3 linked regions of the Neurospora crassa OR74A genome follow. The protein of the gene in region 1 purifies or fractionates together with the protein of each later gene. This does not show direct contact. Links are inferred from orthologs where the notes say so. Each region holds a gene or a part of one and is shown on either strand. Other genes may lie near its edges.

Region 1 (6,351 bases):
CCGATCACCTAACCGATCGCCGAAAAGCGAAAAGCGTAGAAAAAGCCAATCCTCAACGGAAAATTTATTCCTGGCTCTCACTCAGGTTCAAGTGTCGAACATGATTGTTTCCCCATCGTAAGTCGTAACAACCAAGATCAATACAAGTAAGCGCCCATACTACCCCTCATCCGATAAAACTCTTGCCGGCGCCCATTGGACGAGGCCAAACAGGTGATGATGACTGCTCATCGTACCAGGACCACTCAGCATTTTTCTCCCAAAGCCGCCCTATGAAAGATCGACAGATGCAGGTACCGATCCACTGCCGGGGTGGCAGTGGCCGCAGTGGAGCAGCGATTCAAGAAACGTCGCATGATGGGGAAACCAACAATCAGATGCTCACCACCAAACCCCAATCGCCAAGAATGGCGCGCGGCTTCGAGATCTTATTAGCTGTGTGATCTCGTACTTTATCACAACCGTGGTTACCAATTTCACGGTGGTTAAGCTACTGGGCCTGACCAGCATGAACGTTGTGTACCAATTACGCTCGAGCATCTTCCGTAAGCGTCCTCACCCAAATAGGAGAAAATATTAATAAAAGAGATTATAATTAGATGAAAAAAAACCGTGAATGTGGGAGACTCTTTGGTCAAAGCCCAAAAGAGCTCCAGGTATCTCAATTGTTAACGCACGCTAAGTTTCCGCAATATCAAGTCGAGTGACCGCCTTATAAGAATTCCGCTAACCGACCCATTCCGTTGCTCCCTTGAGATAGTATGGCAATGCAAGTATTGTACAAAGTTCATCCTTGACCCTTAAACCCTTTCCTCTTTCCCAGTCTTCGTTCCTTGGCTTTCAGTAGTTTTTGTCTTCCTTTTCCTTTGTCTCCAACTCATCCAGGCAGAGGGTATTTACCCAACTAGCGCTGATCCACCATGAACTAACAAACCATGCTGACGCTGGTGACCTGCGCTGTCCCCTAGACAGCGTTGATAAAGGCCGTGGGCGGCAAGTTCGCCCTCTGCTCCTCGAATGACTTGAGTGCCAGCTCAAAGTTCCAGTTGGCAGTGCCACTGAGACACAACTCTGAGTATTCTGCTGTCATGCCAGTCCGCTTCATCACCTCCTGAATCAGCTGGTTCTTCGTGGCATCATCCAACATGACAGGTTCTGCTGGAGGCACAGCGTTGGTAACCGGAACCTGCGGGACCTGGTTGGCGACAGGGGCCTGACCAGCAGGTGTCTCCGCGGGTGTCCAGTCATGAAGGGTGAGTTGATCGCTAATAACCCGGTATGGGTGCACCGGCGGCGGGTTGCTCGGCTTGCTGGGTCCAAGAATGAACGTGCGCGTGAAGGTGCGCTTTCCGTAGAGGTTTTCTGTAGTATCGGACTCTTCAAACTGGCCATTGACGGTGATGAGCAATCCCGTAGCGAAGCCGTGGCCGGTGGGGTCCGCGAGGTTGGGGAAGGTGTGGCAGTCGATGAGCCAGGCACCAGGGTTCTCCATGCTTGGATGGCGAGTACTGGGGAGAGCCTTCCACATGTCCGCAATGAGATTTCCTCCGGTGAAGAGACGTTGTACCGTTGCTGGATTCTTCTCTCCCAATTTGTGAACGTTGCGGGAGTATTTGAGGTAAGTTTTCCAAGGAAGATTACGACCAGAATTGGCAATGGCTTGAATCGAAAACCACGAGTCGTCGTCGTAGAACTCAGCGGCGAGGCGAGCTCTGTCGCTGTCGAACATGGGGAAGAAAACTTGGACAAAGATGCTCGCCACATTGGCCTCCCCGTCCCGTAGGTTGGAGGGGAACTGCGGTAGTGGCGTGGGGTGCATGCCCTTGAGGGCCTCAGTAACCTCTTGTGGGCTGCGAACAATTTGTCCGTTGATGTTCTGTAGCGATGGGAACCATTTGATGAGTTCTGCCACGAAGTCGGGCTGGGTGGTGATGGGGTTGCCTGTGAGATGAAGCTCTTCGAGGTACTGAAAGCGGTGCTGCCACTTGGAGATCTTGGACAGACTGTCGAGGTTGTTGCTGCTCAGGTCAAGTCTCTTGATATCTGGAAGTGACGTAGCAAGCGTGAAAACCTGCATGACGTCGTTAAGGCCGTTGCTAGCAAGGGAAATGGCCTGTATCCCTTCACGCTTTTCGGCAGCGGTCTTGTACTGCTGACTAGCAATAACTACCAAGACCTTGAAGGCCTTTTCGGCCCGATCCTTGGAATCAAACGTGCCCATGCTGCTGAGGATGGGATCGGTTCCAAGAGAAGATAAGTCAAGCAGCTTCAACTCTGGATTGTAGCGCGCAGCTAGCACTGCTGTCAATTTTTGTTTGGTCTCCTCAGCAGCCTTGGAAATCTTGTCTTCGGGGCGAGGCATCCTCTCGGTGGTTTCCGTAATCGTCAGGGGTGCACCGGCATAGGTGAAGCCATTGAGCCTCAAGATCTCCGGGGCGTCATCTTTTCTGACCGTGATCCACACATAATCGCCGTCCATTATACTCTATCGATGGGTTAGAAGGTGTCGGTTATCGCAGTTGCAGAATATTGCGCGCTTGGGGATGTCGGTGGATGGGAAAGTATACCTTGCCGATTGTAACTGCTTTGTCTTTGGAAGCCTTTCGTTCCAGAAAGGTGAGAAGTGACCGAAGCCCTCCATCGCGATTGCCGGTAGCTTTGCTATTGCTCATACCGTGAATCTTCAGTGTGGCCATATTGGACTGTGTTTTGCCGACGGGACCTCCGCTGACGTAGTTCTGTAGGTTCTGCACGACCCGGGATGCTGTCCGGGAGTTCACCGCACCTCTTCCACCTCGAGCATCTTTGGAGCCACGTCCTCGACCACCGGAAGCCAACCCACCCCTACCAGAGCCACCAGCCGGAGCATCCATTGACACATCTCCATCTCGGTCCGTCCTCGGGTTTGCGCGACGCTTCTGGATTCCGCCACCGCCGCCTGTTGCTCGGGGTCCACGAGGAGGAGCCCTTCCAGTTCCGGCGCGAGGACCAGTAGGAGGTGCCATGGTTGTTCGTTGAATTCTGAAGAGAAAACGTTCGGTGTGAGTTGCGGGTGATTTTTTTTTCTCGCCGAGTTGTTGATGAAAGGACAGTGAGTCGTGGAGTTGCGAGTTGTCCTTGTTCGCCGACTTCTTCGCTGCCCCGATGGTCAAAGTTCCGGTCGTGGTCGGGGGAACTGGGGAAGGGTACTAAGATGCAGAGTCGAGGCTTACCTTTGGTGTCGCCGTTAGGCGGGAGAGCGGCCTGCTCAAGAAAAACAGGCGGCCGATGCCGACCGGGGATTGATCACCGCTGGGTGGATTTGGGACGCTGTATTTGAGAGTGGCCCAGATAGGTGTCAAAGGACACTTCGCTTAGAGTCTAGGTGCGCTTCTCTAAAGGGATTTGTCGAGGTAAAGAAAGATGTAAAAGATGCTTGGAGGTGGGGCGACAAAGACGACGCGGAGATCCAAAGGTACGGAAGTAGAAGTAGAAGGCCGCCGCTTCGCTCGTGATCGTTGGTTGAATATGCGTACGGAAGCTGCTAGCTCTGAAGCAACGGGCGAGTACGAGGATGCGCAAGAGTCATCAGCCGGTCAGTACTGAAGAGTTTGTTGGGCTGCCGATGCCAACTGACGACGCGAGAAGGTCGAGAAATGAGGAAGGTTTCGATGACGGATTGGAGAATGGAAGAAAGAAGGTTCAGCCTGCCGGACCTCCAAAAAGGAAATACCTTAGCGGCGGCAGTGGAGGAGCATGCAACTTGAACTCAAGGCAATGAGCCAAGCTCCGACCAGTGCGCCAGGCTCCAGCGGACCACAGAGACAAGCGATCGGATTTTGACGCAAACCTGCCCCACCCAAGATGCAACAGCCCCACTCTGACGCTGTTCTGCTGCGAACTCCCCAGGCGGCAGCACCCAGACTGCCCACACCAATTCACGTGCTATGGCGATGGAACGTGTCAAGGGAATAGCCCGTCCATTAAAACAGCGACGCGTCTCATATCAGGCCGGGCTTGTGTGACGATAGGGTCGGTTCACCTATGCAAACGGACTGTTATGAATGTCAATTGTTTCACTTCCAAGAATTTCATCCGACAAGCCTTAAGTTTCATCACCAGAACAAGAAGTTTAAAAAAAAAAGGCAAGAAAACAAAGTCCGGTTGTATTAACTGCCCAAGCATCGGCGCATCGAATCTCGAATCGTCAAGGTTCTTTCTTTTCTACAACCTCACAACTCTCAAGTCATGGATGACGATGACTTTGACGATATTCCTGATGAGGATTTGATGTTGGCCTTCACCCAGGCCACCGGCAACATCACATCACATCACCCCAGCAACAGCAAGCAGCTTGCCTCGTCGGCAAAACCACCAGCACAAGCGTGGCCAATATCCGATTCTGCAAGACGAATCGTTACTCCAACCGTATCGCAGGGTCAGGCTACAGCTACAGGGCGTGCCAAAACAGCAAGCAAGCCGACCACGTCAGCGACAACGTCTCGCCCGTCCCTAGCTCAGTCCAGCCAGCGTAAGAATCTGCGTCAGACGACACTATGGGGTGGCACGCTGGAGGAGGATGCGCAACCCGCCCCGCAAGCGGTGTCGAATCGACCATTCCGTGCCGATATGCCCCCAGAGCAGCCCACTCACCATGAGATTGACATAGAAGAAATGAAAACATGGGTTTATCCGATGAATCTGGGACCTATTCGAGACTACCAGTTCAGCATTGTCAAAAATGGCCTCTTCAACAACACATTGGTCGCCCTCCCCACGGGTTTGGGAAAGACATTTATTGCTGCGACAATCATGCTAAACTACATCCGCTGGACAAAAACCGCAAAGGCTGTCTTTGTTGCTCCTACGAAACCCCTTGCTTCACAACAAGTTCAAGCATGTCTCAGCATAGCGGGCATCCCGCGATCTCAGGCGACTCTCCTAACCGGAGAGACTCCTCCTGTTCTACGTGAGGACGAATGGGCAACAAAGCGCCTGTTCTTCATGACACCCCAAACACTAATGAATGACCTTTCCAAGGGCTATGCCGATCCCAAGTCCATCGTACTGCTGGTTATTGACGAGGCGCATCGTGCGACTGGAGACTATGCATACGTCAAGGTGGTCGAATTTTTAAGGCGTTTCTCCAAGAGCTTTCGAATTCTTGCTCTGACTGCTACACCAGGATCGTCTCTCGAAGGTGTTCAGGACGTCATTGATAATCTGGGCATTTCTCACGTCGAGATCAGAACCGAAGAGTCAATCGACATTCGTCAATATGTGCACTCAAGAGACATCAACACGATAACATTCGACCCCTCTGACGAAATGATGGAAGTCAGAGACTTGTTCTCCAAGGCCCTGAAGCCCCTTGTGACCAAGCTGAGTTCACAAAATATATACTACGGCAGGGACCCCATGAGCCTGACTACCTACGGCCTGATGAAAGCCAGGAATGACTGGATGGCAGGTCCGGGTAGGCACGTAAACCAAGGAACCAAATTCAGTGTCATAGCCACATTTGCGATTCTCCAGAGTTTGGCGCATTCCATCAAACTACTCAACTTCCATGGAATCAAACCGTTCTACAATAATCTGGCCGAATTCCGCACCACCGAGGAGGAGAAAGGAGGAAAAGGGTCAAAGCTCAAGCGGCAAGTCTTGGAGGATGAGAACTTTCAGAAGATGATGGACATGATTGAGGGTTGGATGAAGATTGATGGGTTCCTCGGACACCCCAAGCTGGAATATCTTTGTGAGACCCTGGTCAACCACTTCATGGATGCTGGCGAGGGCTCCAATACCAGAGCCATTGTATTCAGTGAATACCGAGACAGTGCCGAAGAGATTGTGCGCATTCTCAACAAGCAACCCCTTATCAAGGCCACAGTCTTCGTTGGACAAGCGGACTCGAAGAGGAGTGAGGGCATGAAACAGAAACAACAAATTGAGACGATCGAGAAGTTCAAGAACGGCGCTCACAACGTTCTGGTCGCAACATCCATTGGCGAGGAGGGTCTTGATATTGGCCAAGTGGATCTCATTGTCTGCTACGATGCATCAGCGTCACCGATCCGAATGCTTCAGCGTATGGGTCGTACCGGCCGCAAGAGAGCGGGTAACATTGTACTTTTGTTGATGAAAGGGAAAGAGGAAGACAAATTCAACGAGGCGAAGGACAACTACGCGACCATGCAGAGAATGATATGCGAGGGCAGCCGCTTTACCTTTCGTCACGACCTTTCTTCACGTATTGTGCCACGAGACATACGACCTGAGGTGGAAAAGAAGGTTGTGGAGATTCCACTTGAGAACTCCCAAAATCCAGAGCTCCCAGAACCAAAAAGATCTGCCGCAAGAATGAGGACAAAG
Region 2 (6,380 bases), about 4.8 Mb from region 1:
TTGGCTGTTTTGGTTGTTGCGGAAGGCAGCGGCGGCAGAGCTAGCGCGTCGCGAACGACCTGTGCGTTCGTCGTCTGCTGCGTCGGGGTCGCCTAACGAAGGCAAGACGAGTTTCTTTTGTTTGGAAGCGGGGAGGATCTCGTCTAGGTCGACGGGGACGCCGAGGGAGACGAGGAAGAGACGACGGATGCGGGAGCGGATCCAGTCGGGGGGTTGGAGTGGGGGAGGGGCGACGAGCTGTGACCAGAGGGAGGCGGAGCGGGGGTGTTGGAAGATGGGGTCGGTGATGCCGTTGGAGACATTGAGGGTGGGGATGGGGGAGGAGGAGGAGTCGTCGCCGTCGGTGTCGGGGGAGGGAGGGAAGAGAGCGTTGAGGTAAGGGGAAGTGAGGGAGAGGATCTCGGACGCGGAAAGGTGGGTGAAGTCGGGTATTTGCTAGGGGATATGTTAGTGTGTGTTGGACGTAGAGGGAGTAACTGGGTTGGGGACTTACGAAGGATAATGAGGACTGCGGTTGTTGTGGTTGCGGCTGAGGAGCAGGTGCTGGAGCTGAGAACCCTTCGGCTTCTTGGAAGTCATCGTCGTCAAAGCCGGCATCGTCAAAGTCGCCAAAGTCAGCATCGTTGTTGGCCTCGGCTCCCTCCTCAAAGTCGTCAAAGTCATCCCCAAAGTCATCGGCGCCAGCCGGAGCTGGCTCAGCAAAGTCGTCCCCAAAGTCGTCATCACCAAACCCGTCATCGTCGGGGGCTTTATCCCCTGCTTCAGCAAATCCGTCGTCGTCGTCGTTGTCGAACCCATCTTTTTCAACAGGCTTCTCCTCTTTCTGGTCAAAGCTGACATCGTCCTTCTTGTCCTCTTCTGGCTCGACCTTCTTCTCGTTCTCTTGACTGGGTTCTGCCTCGTCGAAGTGGTCCTCTGTGTCTTCTTCCTTTGTATCTTGCGTCTCAAGCTCTTCGCTGGCATCCTCGAACTCGTCTCCTTTCAATGCTTCTTCGGTGTCGCGGTCTTTTGACTGTTCCTCCTCGTGCTTCTCGTCCTCCACCTCTCCATCTTGAGCCTGCTCAGTCTTGACCTCTACATTCTCCTCCTCCTTCTTGGATTCATCTTCATCGGCGTCTTCGTCGTCGGCGGTCTTGGCGTTGTCTCGTACGACATTGTCGTGCGCGTCATCTTTTGCCTCCTCCTTTTCTAGAAGACTGGGCCCCAATGAGGGCGAGTCAGGGGATGGCTGGTCTAGATCAGATGACGAGTCTCTAGAATGGATCGAGGCGGGACTCTTTAATGCAGGTGGTATTGGTGTATCTACGCAGGAAAACGTAAAGTCAATACAAAGGAGATCTTGTATAATTTGCTGGCTCAAAAAAAAACAAACAAACAGGCATGTGCTTGTGAAAGTGTGTGTGTGTGCGCGCGCGTGTGTGTGTGGCTAGAAAGAAGTGCTACGCATCCGTACCATTGTCACCACCCTTCTCATGCTCGACCTTTTGCCCATCCGCCTTGACAAGCACGTCGGGAGGACTGTCAACCCTGTGCCTCGCTTCGATCTCATGGTGGGTGACGGCACCAGTGCTATCTGGCGTCTCCTCCACTACGGTCATGGGAATGGGGCGCCCGCCTGGAGTGGACGGCCGGCGCTGGTCATGCTCCTCGGTCGAGAGCTTGGTGTCTGGGTCTGGGATAATGGCAAATTCATCCGGCTTCGCGTCCCCTTCCCTCATAGAATACGCCTTGGTCCCCGGGACCTCTCCATACGCCGGCTTGTCGTCTACTCTCTCGACTCTTGTTCGCGGGATGGGCGAGGAGGGAGCTTTGGGAGAAGAGATGGCATCGGAGTAGTGATCTTCGGTGTCGGAGCCTGTTGTCGCGTAGAATGAATGGTTAGTTGGATATCCATGTGCCGACTTTGTCCAGAGGTCTCCCAAGTTCCCCATCAGCTGTAACCTACCAGGTAGCTCATGAGCGCCCGGGTCCATGGTCCCCTGCCTCTCGGGAGGCGACAGACTGTTCCTGCGCGAAGCCATTGTGATCTCGAAGCGTAGTCGCGGCGGTCTATACGATCAAAGAACAAGAGGATTTCCGACTATGGTGAGTGCTGAAGGAAGCGCAGAAATGTATATGGTAGGTAGGAAGCAAGATAGGTGTATGTATATGTATATGGATATGGATATGGATATGGGAGGATCGGGATCGGGGATCGGGGGGCCAAGGTGAGGACTGAGGAGTGATGTAGTTGGTGTGGGGTGCTACAGTATGTTTACTGCTGTGAGGGACAGGACTGGAGTGTCCTATAACAAGACGGGAGTAAGCCGACTCTTATACTCTGCAGGAGATAGGTCAATTGCACGCAGCAGATGGCCTGAGGTCAAAGTGAACTGAATCAAGATTGGGTATGCACACAGACGTTGCGGCTGACTTGTGGCATCCCAATGTCCAGACGATGGACAGCAATGTGTGTGGAGAGAGACGAGAGAAAGGAACAGCTTCCGGATGGCCTAGAGTTAGTCTAGAGGATGGGCTCACGATGGCCTAATCTAGAACATGGGGTAACCACCACCCCAAGCTTTCCGAGACGACTGAACGGGGCTCCTGCTTCTTGCTCGGCTACCCTGGGACGGTGCGGTACGGTACGGTACGGTATGGTACTAAGGTACCGCCGTGTCCGGAAACTGTATGGTAACTCGCTGCGTAATGTGCTGCAACCAGACGGTCCAGTCAGAATGCAGAAGAGCATCACGGCAAGTGGAAAGTCAGCACTTCGCTTCAGTTTATGAGGCCCGCCCCGTCATTGCTCAAGTTCTCCGTCAGTTGTCGAACTGCCGTCAAGCCACATATTGATTGGCCGTGCACGCTTGGCACTTGCTAGTAAAATGTTAGACGGGGTAGGTGAGGTGAGGCTGACCACTTCACCTGGGGCTGACTCGTTGCAGTGGTGACTGGAGTGCTCCAATAAGCGGGAAATGCTTGGCCTTGTTGAGTGCGCGTCCGGGTCCCCAGAAGGGGAAAAGCCCAGGCGCGCTGCAGCACCTCCAAAAAAGTGGAAAGGCCTGTCGCGACGGACGGAACCTTGACAAACAGAGACCGAGAGACTGAGTGACGCTGCCACACTTTCTTTGCTTTCTCCAATCCACGCCCAAACGACGTCCACGTCCACTCCACCAAACGGATTCCGAACCGACGTCCAAAACTCGCGATCCGATAACCACGGCTGGACCATTGCATCACTTACTCAAAACCGAGATCGCGCCGATCTTCCTCTTCGCATTTCAACGAATCGTTGCTTGGGTTTCCGCGCGCTCCCTGTTGTTGTTGAGGTAACCGCAACAGCCTTGGGAAGTGGGACGCTGTTGTTGACTTTCTAGATTTTGGTTGACGACGACTACCCAACCACCAACGCCTCATCCATCCATCCAACCAACCAACCCCGAAACCTCGACATCATATCGTCAGCCTCACATAATCGCAATCATGTCATTCTTCGGTACACCAAGCTCCAGCGCGGCCTCGGGCCAACCAGCAACAACTGCTACATCCGGTGGTCTCTTCGGAGCCTCCTCCTTCGGCACCCCAGCAGCGAGCTCGACACAGCCAGCCGGTAGCTTGTTTGGCGCTAAGCCTACAGATGCCTCGAAACCTGGAGGACTATTCGGAGCCAATACCACCTCGACTACACCTTCGCTTTTCGGCTCTGCTTCCAACACTGCCGGAGGAGGCAGCACGACGCCTGGCGCAGGCTTGTTTGGAAACACCACTGCCAACACATCGACAACCCCCGCCGCTGGTGGCTCGAACTTGTTTGGTGGCGGGGCCAGCACCACACCCGCAACAGGAGCTCCTTCGGGAGGTCTGTTTGGAAACAATGCTTCTACTACTCCGGCTACCGGTGGTCTCTTCGGAGCTGGCGCCAACTCTCAGACGACGCCGGCTAAGACCTCGTTTGGACTAGGATCGACTACCCCAGCCGGTGCACCACCTGCTGCTGACGCTTCCAAGGCCGCGCCCTCTCTCTTTGGTGCTACCCAGCCTGCCTCTGGCAACCTCTTTGGAGGAGGAGGAGCCTCGAGTACCCCGACCACAACCCCTGCCCCCACCTCGGGAACAACACCATCTCTGTTCGGAGCGAAGCCAGCCGAGACCACCACCTCTGGCACCACTTCTGGTCTCTTTGGCGCCAAGCCAGCCGAGCCTGCGTCCAGCACAACTCCCGCGACGACAGCCACTTCCGGATCTACTCTCTTTGGCGCGAAGCCTGCGACCAGCGGTGGCAGCCTGTTTGGCGGAGCCTCGACAACCCCGGCTACGACATCGACCACGACCACCACAGCACCAGCAACTTCCGGCCTCTTTGGTGCCAACACAAGCAAGCCGGCCGAAGCCGCAAAGCCAGCTACGGGTGGTCTGTTCGGCGCCACTCCTGCTACCTCAGCTCCTGCCACCTCTACCACCACTGCTGCTTCCGGCAGTCTGTTCGGCGCCAACAAGGATGCTACCACTACCTCTACTGCCCCAGCATCAGGAGGCTTGTTTGGATCGACTACGCCTTCGACGACCACAACCACGGCGCCTGCTCCTTCGTCTTCGACCACAACTAGCGGCCTCTTCGGTGCGGCCACCACCAAGCCCGCCACTACCACAGCGGCCACCACCACTGCCGGTGGGAGCACCACCGCCACTGCTGGAACCACCAGCAGTCTCTTTGGAGGAGGAGCCAAGCCTGCGGACACCACCACCTCCAAAACCACCACCAACAACACCACTACTGCCGCCGGCACCACCAGCACCACCGGCAACCTCGCCTCCACGACCACCGGCCCCACTTCTACTCTCCCGCGGTTGAAGAACAAGACCATGGATGAAATCATCACCCGCTGGGCCACCGATCTCTCCAAGTACCAGAAGGAATTCAAGTCGCAAGCCGCCAAGGTGGCCGAATGGGACCGCCTCCTGGTCGAAAACGGCGAGAAGATCCAGAAGCTGTACACCAGCACGTACGAGGCCGAAAAGGCCAGCAACGAGATCGAGCGCCAGCTCTCGGGCGTCGAGTCGCAGCAGGACGAGCTGACCGCGTGGCTGGACCAGTACGAGGCACAGCTGGAGGAGTTGTTCAAGAAGCAGCAGCTTGGATCCGGCGGCGAGTCAAAGGCTGCTGGCGGTGTTGGCGACGGCTTGGGCCCCGATCAGGAGCGCGAGAGGACGTATAAGCTTGCCGAGAAGCTGACGGATAGGCTGGATGAGATGGGCAAGGATTTGGCCAAGATGATCAAGGAGATAAATGATATGACGGGCACGTTGAGCAAGGGGAGCAAGCCTGATGATCCGGTATGTTTTTCTCTCTCCCTTTTTTTTCTCCTCCTTTTTCTCTCCTTTTTCTCCATTTTTCCCTTATTTTATCCAATCACTAACGCACACGATAAACAAAACACAACAGCTCAGCCAAATCGTCCGTGTCCTCAACGGTCACCTTCACCAGCTTCAGTGGATCGACCAAAACGCCGCCGACCTCCAAGCCAAGGTGGCCGCTGCCCAAAAGGCTACCAGCGGCATGGGTGCCCACCAAGGCGTCAACGAGTCGGATGCCGCTCAGAGCTTTTACCGCTCGTACAGGGCCGGTGGTGTGAACAGGTGAAGGGAAAGGGAAGGGAAGGGAAGGGAAATAAATGGGCTTTGATGATGCTGTATTGTAGGAAGCTAAAGTAAAGTGAAGTATGAGTGAAAGAGAAAGAGAAAGAGGCTGAAGAATCGGATGGCGGCGAACTTGTCTGTGTGTGTGTGTGTGTGTTCAGTTTTGAGTACCCTACCTACCCTAGTTTGTTGGTTTGTTGGTTTGTTGGTTTGTTTTGTTAGTCTGTGAAAGACCATCATGGTATGATTTGAAACGTCTTGTATATGTATCGTGGCTGTGGATGGGGGGGGATCGATGATGTTAATTTACGTAGCTGAGATCTGTCTGTCTGTCTGGCTTTGGGATGGGTTAGGAGACAAGAAAAAAGGCTATGCTATGCTAGGCTGGGCTAGGCCACTTATTCTAGGTTGTGGAAGCAAAAATCAATAAACAAGATGGGTTCAAGGTAATGGCCACAGTCCAAAAAGGGGTTCATTACATCTGGAAGGGAGTTCATGTGTCTGTTTTTTTCGATATATTGTCTTCATATGATGTCGAGTGAATATCATACATATCGGACTGCCGAACTGTACATATAGGTACCGACTGCCAGGAGTTTCATTTTGAAAACCGAGACGTAGAGCATCATTGTTGTGACTCAGAACGTCGGTGGGTATCAGTGAAATTTCTTATAAGACGGACTTGAAGTTGTTAATACTTCAGTAAAGTACCGTCCCGTCTGCTTTCTTTTTCATGTTCCATGTAAGTGGCATTAAGATAA
Region 3 (6,350 bases), on another chromosome or scaffold:
AGGACAACGGTACTTACTATCTGGTTCCAAGACCACAAGTTCTCTTCCCTCGAGCACTGAGAGTTCGCCTTCACCTCCAGCTTCGAAGGTGTATAGCATCTTCGCCTTCTGTTCCTGATGCCCCCCGCCATTAGAGGCGCTTCCTGGCACTTCGCTCATGAATGCCGGGGGTGGCGGGGCCAGGATACGATTCTTCCGGGGTACGCTAGACGGTTCTGGTGAGGCTGCCGGTGGCCTCGTGTTAGGGACATCTGGAGGCGCATCGTCGCCAGGCGAAATAGGCCCGGAAATCGATCGTTGAGCGCTGGCCGCATACCCAGAACGCACCGAGCTGACTGTGTTTGACCGAGTGAGATCAGGCATCTCGTTAACATGGCTCGACGATGTGGAAGGCTTAAGCAGCGTGTTGGCCAGCTCTTGTCGTTCTTGCTTATATTTTTTACGCTCCTCCTTGTTCAGCTCCCCTGGACACTCGGCCGGTACCTTCATCTCGCATTTGCTATGGCAAGTATACCCGCAGTCTCGGCAATCGAAGCCCTTGGCTGACAAGCCCCATATTCTCTCTCCGCACAGATCGCAGTTAGTGGGAATCTTGAAGGTTTGCGACTTAAAATTGTGGCTCTTGGCACCCAGTGTCACGTCACCAACGGCTGAAGTAATGGTGGACGTCTCGACCTCTGCTGTCAGCCGCTTCCGGTCGACCTGATGCAGGTCCTCTTGCTGCAAGAAGAGCTGCGTGAGAACCAAGAACTCATCCTGTGTTTGCTCTGTCCCTTCAAGCACCCTCTGCTTCGCTCGCTTGGTTGTTTCCACCTCTCGCCTCTTCTTATCTACCTCACGCCGCAATTCTCCAAGTTGGCCCTTTGACTTATTCAGCACATTGCGCAAATAGATTTTGGCTGGCTCGTCCGTAACCATGGAATCGTCATCGTGCCATACTGGGCTTGGCTCAAACACCTTGTCGGGAGGCTCCTGGAAGGCACCGGTGTTGTGCTGCATGTACATCATCGAATCTAGCTGAGGTTCATTCCGCACAATCTCCTTGGCCATGTGGTCAACCTCACCACTGCAGTTCTGAAGCATGGAAAACTCAAGCTGAGTGGCTTCGGACCAAAACCCGTTCAACTTCATTGTGCGGAACTCGGCAAGATCTTGCAGGTTGTCCATAACTTCGGGAAGGAATTCGTGGTAGTGCTTCTCCTTTTGCTTGTTGGTAACGTTGATGGCGATCAGGTAGGTGTTCTTCATGTTGTTCATCTCTTGTAGCTGGTGTTGAAACGAACTCTGCGCCTTTGCCTTGTCGAATGCCGACTCTGACTTTTTGCGTTTGCTCTCAACATCCTGGCATACCGAGTCGTACTTGGTCTTGACCTTCTGCAGTGCGGCATACTGGGCTTCTTTTTCTTTTTCTAGCTTTTCGGCATATTCGACTTGGCGCTTGCGTTGCGCGTCCAGTTTAATGGCCACTTCTTTGATCGGTTCCGCAATCTTGGTGACAAACTCGTTCGCGAGTCGATCGTGTTCGCTGGCGACCAGTTCAAGCTTGGTTAGAATGGTAGACCATGTAGTCATCGAGGCGCTAGTTACACGGAAACCGGTCAGTTAGCTGGAATAGAACACCTAGGCAGATGTGACCATGTTCCAAAGAGCCTTGTCGTACCTCTCAAGGGACCCAGGGGTCATTGTGGGGGTGTCGCCGACACTCAGGCTCGTTGACTTTTTGGCTTTCTTGTCATAGTACTTCTTTGCTATTGCGCTCAGCTCGGCGCTATATCGCTTCTCGGCGGCGCTCCTTTCACGGAAGAAAGCCTGCACATCGTCAAAGAAGGCAATGTTGTTGGCCACATAGACATTGGCCGGTTTAAAGCCATCCTGCATGCGGGCATGTTAGTCCAAGGCCACCAGCACATGTTCAAGCCTCTGAGTAGGCCAGGAGAGATGAAGACAACCTTGAGCACGGTGCCAAAGGATGGCGCGATTTCGCCCTCGGCCATAGTTTGTTGGAGGAGCTTCTTTTAATATTGAGAGTTGTCGTCGTGGATAACCATGCAAACCAGTAGTCGGGTATACATGCAATCTAGACTTCGGGAGAGAATGAGTGGGACTGCTCCGTCGGCTGTCGTCGTGTCTGAATCGATGATGAATCGTGCTGTGCTGGTCCTGGGTATGTACAAGTAGCGGCAGGAACCCGTTGGGTCTTTGGAGGAATGGGCGGGACTGGCGGAGCGTTTGAGTGTTACTCCAAGCAGAGATAGAAGAAGCACGGCAGATACAGCGTTAAAAGAACAAGCAACTAAGTAGTAGAGCAAGAAAGCAAGAGACGGTAGGAGGTACCCCTCCAACAGCTGAAGGTGTGCTATGTAATCGTTCGGCTGGTTATCCCGGTCCGTACACCGTAGCCCGAGCAGCCGGCAAGACCTGAGTTGGGTACCTACCTAGAGGTAGGTAGTAATGATAACTGGGGTGCCGGTGGCTAACCTCGAGGTACTCAATTCAAGAAGGCCCCAGCTGTGCCGTCGGACCTGCGGCTTGGTCGGTGCTAGTGCGGTCTAGGCAGTATGCGTTAACTGCATGAAGATTGGTTCCGAAGAAGCATTCGTTCGTTACGTAACTCTAGGGATATGTTAGAGGTAAGAATTGGAATTCAAAAGACGGAAAGAGAAACCTCGTTTGGCCAAAGAAACAACTGAACTAAACACCTATGGACTTAAAGCCTCCTTAAAGAGACAGCGGGCGGGACCCCGGCCACCTGCACTAAGCCACCCGCTGCTGGCTCGTGCTTTGACCAGGCATTCTGGCCTCCGGCTTCTGCCAGGGCATCAAGCGTTAATTCCAGGGCAGGTACAGTACCAACTACACTACGGCACTACTTCTACACTAGAGGTAGAACAGCAAGTAGGTACGTATACTGCGTACACTAGTGTAGAGGAAGGTGCAGATGCCCCACTATCACTCTGGTTTGATGGCGTCGCGACTTCCTCTCAAAGTCAGCCCTGCCGCTGCCAGAATCTCTTTCTGCCAGCTTCCTTTTCCTTTCGCATTCCTTCTCCCGCCCACAAACCACTGCTGGCAGTTGCTTTGTGGTTACCAACAGCTCAAGATTTCCATCGGATCTCTTAAAAGAACATTTTGTTTACTCCAACAATAACTCCCTCCAAGGTAAGCTTGTCAGCTTGCGCCTCCCCGTCCTTGCGGCCTGGGCCTGACGCGTTGAATTGGGACGCGGGGCATCAAGACCTGACGAAGCGCAGCTTGAAACTTGACTCACCCACGTCTCGGCTTCTTGCTGTAACCGGAATATCCAAGGGGGGGCGAAAAAAATATAACGTATCGTACTGACCGTGCGATTTTTGATTCTTGCTAGCAGTCATCCTAATTACGACGTCATAATGGCTGATCTCGCCAGCCGCATCACCAAGCCCGACGAGGCTCCGGCTGCCGCCCCCGAGGCTGCGCCCGTGTCTGCCCCTGCGTCCGAAGAGCCCAAGGCCCCCGAGAACGAGACCTCCATCGAGGAGAGCCAGAGCAACCTTGTCAAGAACGAGTACGAAGTCGAGATTAAGTTGAGCGATCTTCAGAATGACACCGAAAGTCCTCTCTACTCCGTCAGCTCGTTCGATGAGTTGGGTCTCCCCGAGGCTGTCAACCGCGGTCTGCTCGCCATCAACTTCAAGAAACCTTCCAAGGTCCAGGAGAAGTGCCTTCCTCTCATGCTCTCCGACCCTCCCCGCAACATGATTGCCCAGTCTCAATCCGGTACTGGAAAGACTGCCGCTTTCGTCCTTACCGTTCTCTCCCGCATCGACCTGTCCAAGCCCCACCAGCCTCAGGCCCTTCTGCTTGCTCCCAGCAGAGAGCTTGCCCGCCAGATCCAGACCGTTGTCCAGACCATCGGTCAGTTCTGCGAGAATTTGATTGTCGAGGCTGCTATTCCCGGTGCCATCTCGCGCGAGACGGGTGTTAGAGGCAGCGTCGTCGTGGGAACTCCGGGAACTGTCATGGACCTTGTCAAGCGCAGGCAGTTCGATATCTCGCAGTTGAAGGTTCTTGTTATTGACGAGGCCGACAACATGCTTGACCAGCAGGGTCTGGGTGACCAGTGTGTCCGCGTCAAGAAGTAAGTTCATCTTTGGGCACTAGTGTTATGCGACCTTTACTGACATTAAGTAGCATGCTCCCCAAGACCATTCAGATCCTCCTTTTCTCTGCGACGTTCCCAGACAAAGTTTTGAGATTCGCCGAGCGCTTCGCACCCAACGCCAACCAGATGAAGCTCAAGCATAAGGAGCTTACGGTTAAAGGTATTTCGCAGATGTTCATGGACTGTCCTACCGAGAAGGACAAGTACGACATTCTTTGCAAGCTGTATGGTCTCATGACCATTGGTTCTTCCGTCATCTTCGTCCGGGTATGTTTTTTCCCCTCGAATACTGTTGTAGACATTTGCTAACGTGCTTTCTTCCAGACGAGAGAGACAGCCAACGAGATCCAGAAGCGCATGGAAGCAGATGGTCACAAAGTTTCGGCCCTTCACGGCGCCTACGAAGGCCAAAGCCGTGATGTTCTTCTCGATGAATTCCGCTCCGGACGTTCCAAGGTCCTCATCACCACCAACGTTCTGGCACGTGGTATTGATGTTTCCAGTGTGTCCATGGTCATTAACTACGACATTCCGATGAAGGGACCTGGCGAAAGGGAGCCGGACGCAGAGACATACCTTCACCGTATTGGTCGTACCGGTCGTTTCGGTCGTGTTGGTGTCTCGATCAGCTTTGTCCACGACCGTAGGAGCTTCGAAGCGCTCTCCCAGATCGCTCAGTTCTACGGAATCGACCTTATCCAGCTGAATCCCAACGACCTGGATGATACCGAGAGGAAGGTGCAAGAAGTTATCAAGTCGAGCAGGGCCCAAGCGGAGTACGTTCCCAGCGCTACTGATTCGGCCGTTTAGGTAGTTGGCCGATCAATGAGTGTTGAGGGGGAGTCGTCGTCGTTGAAGTCGTTGAAATCGTTCTTCTCTTCGGCGCCGCCGCCGCCGGAGACTCAGCAGTTTAGCGGATGGTGGTGAGCTAATACACAAGGAGTTTATCAACTGAACCATCTAGCGTAGGCGAGGGATCATGTCTTTTCATCGTTGCTGCGACATCAAGATGTTGGGAAGCCCAGAAGGAAAGGGTATGTGGGAGTGAACTCATGATGCGCATATTCCGTCATTCAAAATGGGAATCGGGAGTTTAGATCAAAGAGATACCAACAAGGGGCGAAAGATAAATAACTTTTGCAGTCAGCAAGATTGCTCAAGACGCGTTCGATACTACCCGACGTTGATACACCGGTAGACGCCAGGGTATCACGAAAATGTCAAGTGCATTGTGTCTCGTATGGAAGGGGGGGCAAAGAACGCTTATCTCAACCGCCGTGCTATACATTTATGCCCACCTCACGACGAAAGTCACAACACGTTGGGCTCAGCATCGCCCTCGGTACCATAACTTTACTTCGTGGTCCGAGTCCAGCTGGATAGTGGCGTAGTTCCCCTCCCTCTTTTTGTCTCCAGTCGTTGGGAAGCTGTTTACTCAAGACTGGTAGCATGTGGATGTGGCTGTGCAGTGCATCATGGTGGCTTGGGGGATGAAGACAACCTCAAGGCAGTGTGGTGTACAGAACCACTGGATCGTTGAGGCGAGTTTCGTGGCTGGTGAGAATCTGGGGGCAGTACCCGAACGGGAATAGCGTTGTTGATTTGTTAGCGCCCACCACCCTTAGGCGTGTCCGGGGTCCAGCCCACAACGAAGTACTTTTAAGCGCCGACCAAGCGCGTGTCCGGCGTCAACCTCTTACTCGCCCACCTCTTCCCAGCTCCAAGCCTTCACAGCCATACATCTATCTGCGGATGTTGTTCCTGCATACCACCTTTGGCCAGTCGACTGGAGAACCGTACCAGCCATGTGCAATCCCGGATACTATGGCGCCCGAAATAGACCTGCCATCTTTTCAGACCAATAAGAGGACGGCGGACCTGGATTTCGCCCAGGACAAGTGCCTCTCCCCAGATCGCTTGTTCCTCTTCGCGGCTCCATTCGTCAGCCGCCTTGTGCAAGGGACATGAACACCGTCGAAGCCCTGCCTGCAATGGAACGTCTCTCATGTCCTCCAAGCAATGATGCCATAGCGAGAGGTCCAATAAACCCCAGTTGGCGATTGGGGCTCATCAATTATCGGGTACAAGGTACTCACTACTCACGTCCTCAGGCAGGTTCAGCGCGTCTCTGCGGGTGAACGGCATGGGTACGACTTCAGAGTTATTGGCCGCGGCCAGGATGGCGAGGAGATTGCCGGCATCGTTAAGC

Evidence for each region.
Region 2: the proteins of NCU09317 (region 1) and NCU02808 purify together in Saccharomyces cerevisiae (affinity purification with mass spectrometry; 3 studies listed by BioGRID, with this or other methods). This does not show direct contact. The link is inferred for Neurospora crassa OR74A from reciprocal best matches to the Saccharomyces cerevisiae genes MEX67 and NSP1.
Region 3: the proteins of NCU09317 (region 1) and NCU01160 purify together in Saccharomyces cerevisiae (affinity purification with western blotting; 3 studies listed by BioGRID, with this or other methods). This does not show direct contact. The link is inferred for Neurospora crassa OR74A from reciprocal best matches to the Saccharomyces cerevisiae genes MEX67 and DBP5.

What each region holds. Positions count from the first base shown.
Region 1 is NC_026501.1:4,263,462-4,269,812, reverse strand, and holds NCU09317 (hypothetical protein), read right to left. Parts: upstream 3,740-6,351; 5' UTR 3,213-3,739; intron 3,137-3,212; 5' UTR 3,006-3,136; coding exon 2,568-3,005; intron 2,486-2,567; coding exon 965-2,485; 3' UTR 580-964; downstream 1-579. Other genes in the region: NCU09318 (ATP-dependent DNA helicase mph-1), read left to right, coding at 4,228-6,351. UniProt on the Saccharomyces cerevisiae protein: Involved in the export of mRNA from the nucleus to the cytoplasm.
Region 2 is NC_026501.1:9,051,139-9,057,518, forward strand, and holds NCU02808 (hypothetical protein), read left to right. Parts: upstream 1-2,858; 5' UTR 2,859-3,465; coding exon 3,466-5,316; intron 5,317-5,425; coding exon 5,426-5,623; 3' UTR 5,624-5,973; downstream 5,974-6,380. Other genes in the region: NCU02809 (hypothetical protein), read right to left, coding at 1-435, 494-1,302, 1,454-1,855, 1,946-2,021.
Region 3 is NC_026505.1:3,083,796-3,090,145, reverse strand, and holds NCU01160 (ATP-dependent RNA helicase dbp-5), read left to right. Parts: upstream 1-2,797; 5' UTR 2,798-3,159; intron 3,160-3,364; 5' UTR 3,365-3,389; coding exon 3,390-4,117; intron 4,118-4,170; coding exon 4,171-4,408; intron 4,409-4,465; coding exon 4,466-4,951; 3' UTR 4,952-5,869; downstream 5,870-6,350. Other genes in the region: NCU01161 (actin polymerization protein Bzz1), read right to left, coding at 18-1,579, 1,661-1,872, 1,950-1,994; NCU01159 (hypothetical protein), read right to left, coding at 5,870-6,127, 6,245-6,350. UniProt on the Saccharomyces cerevisiae protein: ATP-dependent RNA helicase associated with the nuclear pore complex and essential for mRNA export from the nucleus. May participate in a terminal step of mRNA export through the removal of proteins that accompany mRNA through the nucleopore complex.